3 linked regions of the Caenorhabditis elegans genome follow. The protein of the gene in region 1 interacts with the protein of each later gene in a pairwise test. Each region holds a gene or a part of one and is shown in the gene's direction. Other genes may lie near its edges.

Region 1 (7,842 bases):
TTCTATAACTAAATACATAGTTCGTAATTTTAAAAATAACAATATTTATAACAAGGAAAAAACGTTATTTTTCGCAAAAAGGTTCATGATAGTTTTAAAAATTATCATTTTGAAATAACGACTTCTACCACCTTGGAACGTCCAAAAAAGTTGTTCTACAATTTTGACATCATCTAATCTGTTATAATTACTATGATTCCAGTGAGACAATAAATATTCTTAACCTGCCTATGCCTTTAATTGGAAACTAATTGAAACTTTTGAAAATCTGCCAAAAACTCTGTTTTGAATAACCGCCGAAATGAATTAATGCAAGCGCGCTCTTTCGTCACGCGGCAGAGAACGGAGACAGCAGAGAAACGCGGGTAGAATTGTTTTTTGAATGGACAAATTAGCGAGATTTCTTTCCATTTTCTTTTATTTTTCAAACTTATAATGCCTCCAAAAAGAAAACAGCTTCGACGAAACTCATCAAGTATCGATTCAAATAGTTTGCAACAGGTTTGTAGAAATTGGTAATTAATCAGAGCGAAAAAATACTTGTTTTCAGCAAAATCTGTTGCATGTCTGTGGATACTGCTCCAAACTGATGGGAAACGATGAAAAAGAACATTTGGAACATGCAATGAGCCATCAGGTAGGAATAAATATTTAAAATAATATTAATGAAAGACTTACTGTAGAACGAAGTAACCCAATGTCGTACCTGCTGTATTCCTGTAAATAAAGAAGAAACAGAAGATCATCTGAAACGAATTCATGGTAAGTAAACTTGGGATGAAGCAAAATTCGATATTTTAAATTTAAATTTCAGCCTGCAATTATCGTCACATCAAATTTTCCATTGACAACTCTTTAATCGAACTTCGGATCGCCGCTGGAAAATCATATTCAAACTTTTGGGGTATTCGCCTCTCTTCAACGGATTCCACACTAAACAGCTTCAGTTCAAACTCTGCAAGATGGTGGCAGAACTTTAAAAATGGGCGGTCTCTTGGGACATTCCGAATTCTAAATTCAAAATTTAGCTGGAAATGTCCAATGTGTGAAGGAAAATCAGCCGTTAATTTCAATGAGACAATCAGTATGCGGACATACGCCCTGACTCATTTAGAACATCATCATTTCGAAGAAGTTATGGTTAGTGTTCCTGGGTTTTTCGAATTTGAGTGGTATCATCTCAATGAAGAGACTGATTTCGATGTGAGAGCCTTAATGCATATACGACAACAAAGAATTATGTGCAAAGGGCGGAGCTATTTGACATTTTACACTATTAACTTGTCTAAAATGGAAAACGGTGAGAATTTCCTGACAAAGTTGAAGAAAAGAAGTGGAATGGAGAAGGAAGAAGTCAGATATTGTCTTGTTTGTTGCTGCTTGGTGTCTTCTGAAACAATTAAACAACACTTTCGATTATCAAGTCATAGTTGTCTAGATCCGTAAGTTAAATAAAAAACTATTGCGTAGTAAAACTTGAACAATTTTGATATATTCTGGAGCACCAAAATTACTGAATTCGTAGCACAACTCTGATTTTTTGATAAGGCCTGCCTGCATAACATTCGTTTTTTTCAATTATTATTTGTTCAGTATCGCATCGAGCTCATCCTTCACACATGTCCAACCTGACCCAAAAGAAGTTGCGAACGAAGCCGGTGAGAATGTGAATAACGCTGAAAATCCAGAAGAAGAAGAAGTATACACTTTTGAATTTCCCAAGGAATTGTTTCTATATTCTAATGTTTTCAAGGTACATTTTTTTTCAATTTCAAATTTAAATAATTTTTTCGATTTTTAGAACCTACGAAAAGATGAATTCAAGTGGCGTTGTTGTCTCTGTCCACGTGCCCATGCTCACATTTTCACGACTCAACTCATTATGAGAATGTATGCTCTTCGACATATTGATCAACATCACAAGTACCTTTTTACTGAAGAATTCATGAATTATGAATGGTTATCGGCGAAACATGAAATCAGAGCTTCATTCGATATTAGAACATTCACACCTCTTCAGTATACGATTAAGGGAGAATCAACGTTCAATGCAACGTAATTTTTTTCAAAATATGTTCTTATCAGAACAAAAACTTTCAGAGATCCAAATGATTATACTCTTCCACAGCAATACTTTTTTATTCCAAAAGATTTCATCAACGAGACAGTCATTTGTGGGTTCTGCTATCGATCATTTAATAAAATTGATTTTCTACTTCATATCGTTCTTCATGGATTTAGAGTCGTCACCAGGTTCTTTTTTAGAATATTCTACAAAATTTTTCGTGAAATTAAACCCTTCGAATTTCCAGAGAAACTGCAAAACTTCGTCCAGCGTCTTATACTGAAACCGCGAATGAATTGATGGGACAAAATAACTATTCGGATGGTGGACTTGATGATGAACCACACAATATTTTGTCTGTCGATGGGAAGCGGCTAAAATCAAAAATGGATTTATTAGCTAAAAGAAGTTACCTGAATGTTCCTCGATTCTCAGAAGTAACTACGCCTGGCAAAAGTGAAAGAGACACTGATGGAGAAATTTATACGGTAATTCAAAATACTTTTAAAATTAAAATTATAAATATCAAAATTTTCAGCCAAGTGGTCGAAGATCTGCTATGAATGCTCGAAAACTTCTCACTGAAACCTTCAAAGTTCTCCAAGATAACTTTCGAAATAGGAAAGACACGTGGAATGAATCATCGTGCTCTTCTTCGTCTTCGTCGGATGAATCAAACTCTGAAGACGATAGATTCGAACGGAATTTGTTATTAGAAGCTACTACAAAAGATGAGAGACGAGAAAGATCGAAAAGTACAGAACTTAAAGTGAAAGATTTATCAAAAATGAGGCCAGCTGAAGTTCGTGAATGGGTTAAAAGAGAAGCTGAAAAGCGAGGAGTTGACTGGAAAGATCAGTCATCATCATCAGAAGGAGAAGATATGGAATCGGAAACTACCACGGAACGAATAGCAGGAAATAATTGGAATAATATGAGATTAAAAGATATCAAAGAACTGTGAGTTTGTAAAAATTAAATTAAATTTTTCAATTTTCTTTTTTCAGTGTTCGCACAGCAGCAAAAAGGAAGAAGATTGATATTTCAAACGATTCCAGTAGTGATTCAGATGATTGTTAGATTACGTAGTAATTTATTCGTTGTTAATTTATTAAAATAGTTTCAAAAATAGTTTTTCGATACTCAAAAAATAAATGCTTTCAATTTTTAAAACTATTTTCAACTTTTTTTTTTGTTTCCAACTTCTGTTGTACAGCTCAGGTCTCAGATTATTTGTGATATATTTTCAAAATTTCCGCCAAGGTTTGCTGTAACAAACTGATCCGAAATAATTGCTTTTTCTGAATTTCAGATGGTGAGAAAACCTATCGAAATATTAGACTTGCCCCCAGAATTGTTAGAGAAGCTTATCGAGAAATGTGATTTAATTTCAAGGTATTATTCTCCTTAAATAATTTTAAAAAAATCAAAACTTTAGATGCAAACTTCGTGCAACCTCTTCTACTATGAATCATGCTGTTTCATCTACAAAACTCTTCATTCCATCGGTCTATATCAAGGATCTTCACAGTGTAGGAGTTCTCGTAAAACTTACATTTAAACTATTCAAAGATGTACATTCTCTCAAGTTTAAAATGACTCCCGAATGCGACACAAGAATCTCCCAATCTTCGAAAAATGATATTATAATTGAAGGATCTCGACCAATTGATGAGGCTATCGCATTCCTTAATCGAATGTGTTTTCAAAATAATGTTGTTATTGGATTCCTAACTGTAGAATTATCAGATAATTTCGAGGAATTGAATAATAAGTTTATGGAGACATTAGATAACATGGAAAGTTCTCTAAAAGTTCAATCCATTTTTTGGAGAAATCCGCGAAAATGTGACCTTCTCTGGAAAATGTTTGATAAATGTGATGGAAGTTTGCTGAATGGTTTGAAAATAGACGGACAAGCTCGTGATGATGACGATGATTTCGATTTTCTCGGGAAAAATGCGGCAATTGTGCAAAAAATGGACAAAATCGAGGTAAGATGAGTTATGAATATATGCGTTGCACTTTAGAAAACATATAACTTGTGACTAGAGAAATTATGTGTTTCAGATCTCTACTATCACCACAGCAACCTATGAAGACGTCATGGCACTAAAAGCGTCAGTGATCTCTCTCAAATCCAAGAAGTTTACTGGTGACCTTATTTGTGACGTCATCGAGAAGTTCGTGGCTACCAGATCAACTGGATCGAAACTTGACATCATGAACCCAAGTGGCCTAGATTTTGAAAATATTCCTGCAGGATTTACACAAGTTGAGCAGGACTCTGGCCAGTATGTCATAATTTGACAATTATTTTTTGAATATCTTAATTTCAGCAATGTATATCACAAGCAACTTCCAGATGATCAAAGACTTGTAGTTTTATGGAAAAGTGAGAATTGGATTAATTTAGAAATTGGAAAAACCGGAAATTATGATTTCTCGCCTAGTTTTGTAAGTTCAATATTCAGTTTTCATGTCTCCAAATAAATACGTTATTTTTCAGAAGAAAATTCTACTCGGTCTACCCCATTTCGCTGACGATTCTTCGGAGTACGATGACAATTATGATGATTATGATAACGATGAGGATAGCAATTTTGATCCCGATTATGACTACGAACGTTATGAAGATAATCTCGATGAATCTGACTATGAAGATACAGATTATGGGGAAAACGAAGAATTCTATTAATAATCAAATTGTAACGTTTCGTTTTTTCTCTCGTTCTCTTATAATTTTATATAACTAGACGTTCAATAGATACAAATTAGAATAAATTTTCAAACAACATTTTCCCTTAGAACACCAACATGAATCCATATTTATCAAATGAGAATATCGAATTAACCCTCGCAATAAGGAGGAGAGGTACATTTTCAGGCCTTCTGTTTAAATTCGGCGTCAATTAGCTTCGCGATGGTGCTCAATTGAATGTTGGAAGTTCCTTCGTAAATCGTTCCAATTTTACAGTCACGATAGTATTTCTCGACGGGGAATTCTTTGGTGATGCAAAGAGCTTCGCCATTGCTGCCTCACGAACAAATGGTAATCCGTGTTGCTTCATACGAGCAGCATTGTAAACCAACAGACGAGCAGCTTCGATTTCAGTTCTGACTTGAGCAATTTGATGTTGCATTCCCTAGAAGTCTATTGTATATATATATTTCTCTGTCATGTTTTATGTCTCACCTGGAAATCAATAATTCTCTGCCCAAACTGTTCTCTTTGTTGAAGATATGGAATTGTCTGATCAAAACATCCTTGAGCTAATCCAAGCATTTGAGCTCCAATTCCGATACGACCAGCATTCAAATATTCAATTGCGTACTTGTAACCTTTAAACATTGTGTACTTAAATTGGAATTATTAATTCTATAGTCAACCTTTTCCAAATTCTCCAAGAATTGCCGACTTGTGAACGCGTACATTATCAAAATGAAGTGGGCACGTAGAAGATGAACGAACTCCCAATTTGTCCTCCTGAACTTGATGATTATTACGTCCATTTTAAAGCGGAACCGCAAAACTCGATTTGTTGCGTTTTTGTACAAACTACTGTACCCCCGTTCTCGCCAGGAATAAAATAACTGGAATACAGTAACCCCATATGCCTGCTTCCATTGATTTCCTTTGAGTCCTTGATGTATTTCATGTTTTTCAATAATTTTTTCAGCAAAATAATGTCTTGGATAGAAGAGACGATGAAAAAACGATACAATGGGTTACTGTACTTCTTGGAGGCACTCATTTTGAGCGTCATTGACTTGATATTTTGTTCGTGGCGAGACTTTTTTGAGCGAAAAGTCACAATAAATAACTCTGGAAAATGGTTATAAAAGTTAACTTACATGCTTTCCAATGGTAAATCCTTTAGTACCCTTTTCAACAATGAAACATGTAATTCCTTTGTATCCTTTACTTGGATCCGCATTAGCAAACACCAAGAATGTTTCCGATTGCTCCGAATTTGAGATCCACATCTTTGATCCATTAATCACATAGTCATCTCCATCTTTCTTTGCAGTTGTTTTCAATGCAAATGCATCAGATCCAGATCCGGTCTCGGAAAGAGCAAATGATCCAACTGATGAAGTATAACATTTTGGAAGATATTTCTCTTTTTGTTTTTCTGTTCCAAGTTCAATAATTAAAGGAATAAAGAGTGTATTATGAACATCAACCATTGCTCCAACCGATGCATCAACTTTTGAAATTTCTTCAATTACGAGAGCAGCATCGAAAAACGTTGCTCCAGGGCCACCGTACTTTTCAGGAACTTCGATGCCCATCAGCTGAGGTTAACTTTAAACATTTTCAAAATACATTATTACCCAGTTGCTATACTATGTAGACGTCGCGCAAAAAAGTATGCGCCTTTAAGAAGTACAGTAATACATTTCTCAAAAATGGGTTACTGTACTAATTTGAAGGCGCATCGTTTTGCGCAGTTAATTAAAAAATACATTTGTTTCGTTGCGAGACCGTAAAGTGTCGCAACTGGATAATTACTTTCATATAATACCCCATTTTCAAAGCATCCATTGATCACAGCTGGAGTCATTTCCGAAGTTCGATCCATTTCACGAACCAGAGGTTTTATCACTGTATCCGCAAATTGACGAACTTAAATTGCACTATTTATTCTCTGAATCTTTTAATTCTTCAGTACAAACCAGTTTTAACGAATCCGGTTTCCTGCTCCGACAATACTTGCAATGGATGTGGAATATCATCCTCATTACGTGGTTTTGAAGATAACAATGATGACGTGCTAGAGATCAAGCGTCTGCATGAGCTCAAACGGAGTTGGTGGACGAGAAGAGACATTTGGAAGAATTCAAAAGAAGGAACTACATTTTTAAACATTGGAAAAAGGTTTGTGTGATCATGGAGGAGAATTATGGTCACGCTTTTATATTTAAAAAAGTTTTCAATAGGGCAACAAAAACAGTGAAAAAGTAACAATAAAAGTAACAATGAGAAAAAAGATTTAATTTTATTTGAAGATCATATTCATCAATTCGCTACTCTCTGTGTTAACATGTTTTGATCTTTCCTTCTTCACCTTCACAACCTTCTTCTGCTGGACATCTCGCTGGAATTTATCCCACTTTCCACCGGAAGCTGTAACCTTTGCTTCAAGCTTTCTCAAATGTTTTCCTTTCTCAATTTGTTCTTCAAAGTGAGCAGCAATTCGACGAGCCTTGAAAAGAAGAATATTAATGCAAAGTGGCCAATACCGGGGGTTACTGTACCTGTGCGACTTCCACATTCATTCGTCGTTTTTCCACTTCTTTTTCATATTGTAATTGTTCCATAAGATGTACCCATTTGAAACTAGAAAAATAAAAATTCATGTATATTTTCATGAATAACTTACCCAGATAAATATCTAATATTCCATAACATGCTCGACACTGGATCCTTATTCTTTCCACCAATCGGAGTGTTATCAATTTGTTCAGCAATTGCTTTTGCAATCTTTTTCTTTTTCAACTCCATCCATCCTTCTGAATATAGATATTGCGGATTTTTCGAGTGCTTGTTACGCTAAAAATATAATTTTTATGATTTCATTTGAAAAAAAAATAAGCTACCGCAAGGAAGATTCGACCAACTTGTCCAGGGCATCGCTTTTCAAAGTATTCACGCATTCGAACCACGTTGTATTTTGGAGGAATTGTTGAGAAGAAGACAACCTGAAAATTACTTTTTTTTATCTGTGGCCTCTAAAATAGTCTAAAATTATATTTTATCAACAATCCGAGAA
Region 2 (3,452 bases), 2.9 Mb from region 1:
TTGCTAATTAGCCTCTTTTTGCTAATTAACGATGTTTTTTTGCTAGTTAGCAATGATTTTGAGCTATTTAGTTATGTTTACTAATTAGGAATGGTTTTGGACCAGGTTGCCGTGACTCGCTCTTGACTGAGTTGAGAAATTTTTGTTGAAAAACATTTCTATAATACAATACTTTATCAAAAGTTAAAAACACATTTTGTTATACGAAGCTCATGAAATAATTCAGACTTAACTTGAAGTCCTTTTAGTAAATTGATTTTTCGCCTTTTTTCTGGAGCATGTTTACATGGTATTCCCGTGGGGACCATTTAATCATATCCAAATATTACAAACAAGAATTTTTTCAGATATTGGATCAATTTATGTTCGAAAGCTACATTTTATTGGCAAAAAAATAAAAAACATTGCCAACATTCGGATTTGGTTCGGTGCCAGGAAGTGGGTTTGGCAAAGGAGACGTAAATTGTTTCATTTGGTTCTAAAACTTTTAGCTACGATTTGTTTCTATAACAACGTTCTCTATTTTTGTCAAAAAGCTTTTAATTAAAGAAAATAATTGTATCGCTAATATTTTTAGTTTGGAAGTACGAGAACTCATCACAGCAGTTGGACAGAATATTGGAATTGATCAGAATGTGATAGCAGACATAGATATTGATACATTGGTTAAAACAGCAATTCAAGTGAAATTGGGAAGACTTTCAAGAGTTCCTCAAACACATATGATTGTTGAGGGAATATGGCCTCCAGAACTTGTTCCTCTTTTTATGAAAGTGAGATATTTGAAACTTTATAGTATTCGAAGAAAATAATGTTTCAGGATGGTCAATTCCCACTTTTTGTCGATTCGGAAGATGATCTCACTGATATGAGGCCTAAGAAATTTTCAGTTCATTTTGAAGATGAACCAATGATGTCTGAAATAGAGGATACATCTGATTCTGAAACAGCTGCTGATAAATCACAAACCACATCGTCCCGATTGTCTCCAATTCCACGCCGAAGAGCAATGCAAGCCAAATTGAATGGTTCAACTGGTATGTTATCTAGAATTGAAGTGAATGGGAATTTTTAACGAAATCAATTTCAGACTCAGATCAAGCTTGCCACGACGGCGTTATGAATGTTTCAACAACTATCACCTCTGATCTTTCTACAGATGCATAGCATTTTGTTTTTTCTTCTTTTCTTAAATCTCAAATAAATACTTTTTAAAAATTTCTTTAAAAAAATAGACATAAACAAAACATATATAACTTTTCCCAGCTACATTATTACATTTTACAGCATTATTATTTTTGTGAAGTCGGTAGATCGAATATTTAAAATTGATAATACAATTTTATTATATAAAACTCAATTTTATTTACTATCTCTCGAAGAAACTGCGCCCGCAGAAGGAATTCAATTTCTTTAAAGTTTTCAAAAAGTTACGGTAAACTATTCCGTAAACACCGCGACATAAAAATGCACACTTTCTCTTTCCTAATTTTATATAAAATTTATAATTTTAGTTTTCTTCGAGAAAGAAACAAACAATCGTCACTTGCTTTTCGAAGAGTTGTTCATTCAACGACTTTCTTTTTTGTCTTCAAATATTTTTTGTTGCGATTTCTATTTCTTGTGAATCGTCTCAATGTATAGATGGATGATTGAAGCTTGAGTATTTAAATTATCCAGAATTGAAATGTTTTCACATACAGGTGTGCTTGATTGTTTTGTAGTTTGAGCATCAACCAAATTCGAAATATATTCAAATACAATTTTTCTGGCTAAAATTTTTCGATGACTACCAATAAGTAGCAGATTTTTATTGACGTTGAGAATTCATTCCAGTATCTTTTTCCTGTATTCTCAATCATTCTTCTTATTATTTTAGTTATAGTTTTTCTATTTTGCAGATATTCTGATAGAATTCCAACGAAACCATTGCTTTGTTTTTTCCGCGTGGTTTTTGTACACTTCTCTCGTTAGTGACCCTGTCACAACTAATTTTAATTCCAGTCAACTACAACACGATGGCTGACCAAAAGGAAGCATCCGAAGCAGCAAAGAACCGCGAAATCAAGATCTCGTCTTCGGATGATGAAATCTTCTTGGTAAGCTGAAATTCGTTTGTTATTGTCATTTTTATCTGAAAAACTAGGCTTCGGGTCGATAAGACGCTTTCGCAGTTCTTATAGAAAATGTTTAGTAGCCTAGTTGATTTTTAATAAATCAACAAAAAAAGCGGCACTGTACGCTAGATGGCATGGGAAAAATTGCAATCTGAACTTCCAGGTCCCACGCAATGTGATCCGTCTCTCAAACACTCTCAACACTCTTCTTGTGGACCTCGGGCTCGACGACGATGAAGGAACCAACGCTGAGCCAATTCCAGTGCAAAACGTCACTGCCTCGATTTTGAAGAAGGTTATCAACTGGTGCACCAAACACCAGTCCGACCCAATTCCAACTGAAGACAGTGAGAAGAAAACGGATGGTTCCATCCAAGACTGGGACAAAAAATTTCTCGATATTGACCAAGGAACCCTTTTCGAGCTCATTTTGGTAACTTGTTATTTTAGTTGCAATATTTTAAATTCCTATTTTCAGGCTGCCAACTATTTGGACATCAAAGGACTTCTTGATGTCGCCTGCCAGTCTGTCGCCAACATGATCAAGGGAAAATCTCCAGATGAAATTCGTCGTGCTTTCAACATCAAGGACGACTTCACTGCAGAGGAGAGAGAGCAAATCCGTAAGGAAAACGCCTGGTGCGATGATTAAATCTCCATCTTTTCCCCTGTTAAACTTTCAATTACCTTGTTTTCTAAATGTTTCACATCATCCACCATATCTTTCCCCTTATTAAACGCACTTTTTAATTGTTAACAAATTTCTTCACTGCCAGCTGACACAACTGTGTACAGTTCTGTTTTTCATTCAATAAAGTTGATGTGAACATGAAAATTGCAAACAATGCAATTGGTTTTAAAGCCACAGCAATAGTATTTTTTAGTCTGAACAGGACTATAGATCCTTCACTTTTGAAATGGAAGATGACGAGATGTGAAATTCTAGGCCAAAGTTGCTTCGTTTTCCGCGCGCGTAGATTTCGAAATAAATAAAAAAACAATACTTTTCTCAGTTTTAAAAGCTACGGATCGTGTGAATGAAAATTACTTTCTGTGATTAATTGCGAATGGGGTTATTCAAGTAATGTATTTACATGACTTTATCGCATATTGCGCCTGACGCTGCTAAATCCCCGCATTTAACTGAAAGTTGCGATATCTTTAAAACGAGATCTATTTTTTCCATTTCTTTCATTTTTTTTTTCCTGATATTCTCCTTTTTCTATCTATCAAAAATCGAGTGCCGATATTCGCTGAAAAGACTATATTATGTACGCCGTCCGCTCTCTTTTTAATTTTATATAATTAAAAAACATTATCTCTGAATATCTGCAA
Region 3 (3,362 bases), 2.9 Mb from region 1:
GGTAAGCTGAAATTCGTTTGTTATTGTCATTTTTATCTGAAAAACTAGGCTTCGGGTCGATAAGACGCTTTCGCAGTTCTTATAGAAAATGTTTAGTAGCCTAGTTGATTTTTAATAAATCAACAAAAAAAGCGGCACTGTACGCTAGATGGCATGGGAAAAATTGCAATCTGAACTTCCAGGTCCCACGCAATGTGATCCGTCTCTCAAACACTCTCAACACTCTTCTTGTGGACCTCGGGCTCGACGACGATGAAGGAACCAACGCTGAGCCAATTCCAGTGCAAAACGTCACTGCCTCGATTTTGAAGAAGGTTATCAACTGGTGCACCAAACACCAGTCCGACCCAATTCCAACTGAAGACAGTGAGAAGAAAACGGATGGTTCCATCCAAGACTGGGACAAAAAATTTCTCGATATTGACCAAGGAACCCTTTTCGAGCTCATTTTGGTAACTTGTTATTTTAGTTGCAATATTTTAAATTCCTATTTTCAGGCTGCCAACTATTTGGACATCAAAGGACTTCTTGATGTCGCCTGCCAGTCTGTCGCCAACATGATCAAGGGAAAATCTCCAGATGAAATTCGTCGTGCTTTCAACATCAAGGACGACTTCACTGCAGAGGAGAGAGAGCAAATCCGTAAGGAAAACGCCTGGTGCGATGATTAAATCTCCATCTTTTCCCCTGTTAAACTTTCAATTACCTTGTTTTCTAAATGTTTCACATCATCCACCATATCTTTCCCCTTATTAAACGCACTTTTTAATTGTTAACAAATTTCTTCACTGCCAGCTGACACAACTGTGTACAGTTCTGTTTTTCATTCAATAAAGTTGATGTGAACATGAAAATTGCAAACAATGCAATTGGTTTTAAAGCCACAGCAATAGTATTTTTTAGTCTGAACAGGACTATAGATCCTTCACTTTTGAAATGGAAGATGACGAGATGTGAAATTCTAGGCCAAAGTTGCTTCGTTTTCCGCGCGCGTAGATTTCGAAATAAATAAAAAAACAATACTTTTCTCAGTTTTAAAAGCTACGGATCGTGTGAATGAAAATTACTTTCTGTGATTAATTGCGAATGGGGTTATTCAAGTAATGTATTTACATGACTTTATCGCATATTGCGCCTGACGCTGCTAAATCCCCGCATTTAACTGAAAGTTGCGATATCTTTAAAACGAGATCTATTTTTTCCATTTCTTTCATTTTTTTTTTCCTGATATTCTCCTTTTTCTATCTATCAAAAATCGAGTGCCGATATTCGCTGAAAAGACTATATTATGTACGCCGTCCGCTCTCTTTTTAATTTTATATAATTAAAAAACATTATCTCTGAATATCTGCAACTCGAAATTTAGTAAATATACCGTTCCTCCATTATCTTTCTAGTATTTTTTTAAAGACTTTGTCCATCCAATAAATTGTCATATTTGTCAATTCGTTCCCGCATTGCGTTCTATAACGATCGATAACTCTGCGTCTCTTCCTTTGTGTGTACACTGTTTCCTCGCTTCTCTACACTGTTTCCTCGCTTCTCTCGCATCATACGACACACTCACATTCTATTCGCTCATTTCTCAACGTTCTCATTCTATTTTTCGTTGTTTTTCTTTGTTTTGCAGGTATTTTGCGTTGGAAAATTTAAAACTTTTAATTTTTCTCGATGGAAATACTCTTAATCGTTCTTTTTTTTTTCTACCTGTTCTTCTTTATTATTTGTATGTAATCGTTCTTTTCACAATAATTTCTCAATTTCAATCGATTTCAACGCGATGGCTGATCAAAAGAAAGTATCCGAGGCGGCAAAGGAACGCGAAATCAAGATATCGTCTTCGGATAACGAAATCTTCTTGGTAAGATTCAAATTATTCCTTCGTTTTCGTTATTTTTGTCTAAAAAAACTAAATCGATAAGCCGTGCTGCATGCATGCGCGCGTAGAGTTTTGCTTCTTGGTATCCTAGGTGATCTGACTTATAGAAAAATAGACAATGTTAAATGTTCCACTATATTTGAAAATTCACAAACTAAACTTCCAGGTCCCACGCAATGTGATCCGTCTCTCAAACACTATCAACACTCTCCTGATGGATCTTGGACTCGACGACGAAGAAGGAACCAACGCTGAGCCAATTCCAGTTCAAAACGTCACTGCCTCGATTCTGAAGAAGGTCATTAGTTGGTGCAACCATCATCACTCCGATCCTATCTCGACTGAAGATTCCGATAACCGCGAGAAAAGAACTGACGACATAGGCAGCTGGGACGTCGAGTTTCTTAAGGTTGACCAAGGAACCCTTTTCGAGCTCATCTTGGTAACTTGTTATTTTAGTTCCAATATTTGAAATTCATATTTTTAGGCTGCCAACTATTTGGACATCAAGGGACTTCTTGATGTTACCTGCAAGACTGTTGCTAACATGATCAAGGGAAAATCTCCAGAAGAGATTCGTCGCACTTTCAACATCAAGAACGACTTCACCCCGGAAGAGGAAGAGCAAATCCGCAAAGAGAATGCCTGGTGCGAGGATTAAATTACCCTTCAGTTTGCCTATTTCTCTATTACATTTCTAAACGACATGTCGCTTCCTTCCCCTTCACACTTCACACATTGTCCTGATATGGTCTCTGTCTATTTTTTACATCATCTCTGGCAGCCCAAAAACTTCTTCCTTTTTTCACCTAATTAAAATGCATCTTTTGAATTTTAACCGCCATTCTATATTTATACCTATAAATCACCGACCGGCAAAAATTATGCAGTGTGAGATTCTCACACATTTCCTCCAATGAACATCAGTGTGTCCTTTACGTGATTGTACATGCCTAAAAATAAAGTTGATGAGACGATACAAAAAACAAACGATTTATGTAAAACATTGAAAAAAATATAACCCGTGAATGTATTTAAATTCTGATATGAAAAGTTCTAATGAAGTCAGGTGATCGAGAGACAACGTGTTCAAATTCTGCGAAGTTTATACTCGAGTCTCCATCCAAATCAGCTTCTTCAATAATTCGTTCAATTATAAATTCAACTTCTACATCACTCAGCTCATCTCTTGTTAAACTTCGAATCATTTTACTCAAATCATCATGTCCAAGAAGTTCATCTCCATCGTAATCTAAAACAATATTTTGATACTAAATTAAATATTATTACGCAGACCTCTAAGGACCGCTATTGCAATATAATTTTATCAGATATAAATGCAAAATTTATGTCATGATTGTTAAAATAACAATATGATATAATACAATTTATTTACGCGAGTTACAGTAACCCGTTGCCGGAATGGCGAGACGTTGCGCGTAAATTGTGGTGAAAATTCGCAACTATGGACGTCTACGTAATA

Evidence for each region. Proteins that work in one complex are often made in the same cells at the same time.
Region 2: the proteins of T10E9.1 (region 1) and skr-2 interact in a two-hybrid assay, tested with the Caenorhabditis elegans proteins (2 studies listed by BioGRID).
Region 3: the proteins of T10E9.1 (region 1) and skr-1 interact in a two-hybrid assay, tested with the Caenorhabditis elegans proteins (2 studies listed by BioGRID).

Annotation. Positions count from the first base shown.
Region 1 is NC_003279.8:6,541,733-6,549,574, forward strand, and holds T10E9.1 (F-box domain-containing protein), read left to right. Parts: upstream 1-3,377; coding exon 3,378-3,460; intron 3,461-3,503; coding exon 3,504-4,059; intron 4,060-4,135; coding exon 4,136-4,359; intron 4,360-4,404; coding exon 4,405-4,522; intron 4,523-4,574; coding exon 4,575-4,763; 3' UTR 4,764-4,861; downstream 4,862-7,842. Other genes in the region: T10E9.2 (C2H2-type domain-containing protein), read left to right, coding at 436-501, 551-637, 684-762, 815-1,442, 1,594-1,753, 1,802-2,055, 2,101-2,253, 2,313-2,553 and 2 more; acdh-4 (Short/branched chain specific acyl-CoA dehydrogenase, mitochondrial), read right to left, coding at 4,996-5,211, 5,262-5,407, 5,456-5,552, 5,921-6,364, 6,595-6,695, 6,746-6,899; F57B10.8 (Activator of basal transcription 1), read right to left, coding at 7,069-7,275, 7,328-7,409, 7,453-7,622, 7,670-7,771.
Region 2 is NC_003279.8:9,467,686-9,471,137, forward strand, and holds skr-2 (Skp1-related protein), read left to right. Parts: upstream 1-1,968; 5' UTR 1,969-2,018; coding exon 2,019-2,099; intron 2,100-2,280; coding exon 2,281-2,550; intron 2,551-2,595; coding exon 2,596-2,769; 3' UTR 2,770-2,952; downstream 2,953-3,452. Other genes in the region: twk-29 (Potassium channel domain-containing protein), read left to right, coding at 348-438, 578-773, 821-1,037, 1,091-1,167.
Region 3 is NC_003279.8:9,469,784-9,473,145, forward strand, and holds skr-1 (Skp1-related protein), read left to right. Parts: upstream 1-1,766; 5' UTR 1,767-1,780; coding exon 1,781-1,861; intron 1,862-2,045; coding exon 2,046-2,321; intron 2,322-2,366; coding exon 2,367-2,540; 3' UTR 2,541-2,862; downstream 2,863-3,362. Other genes in the region: skr-2 (Skp1-related protein), read left to right, coding at 1-1, 183-452, 498-671; calm-1 (EF-hand domain-containing protein), read right to left, coding at 2,914-3,131. UniProt on the Caenorhabditis elegans protein: Probable essential component of SCF (SKP1-CUL1-F-box protein) E3 ubiquitin-protein ligase complexes, which mediate the ubiquitination and subsequent proteasomal degradation of target proteins.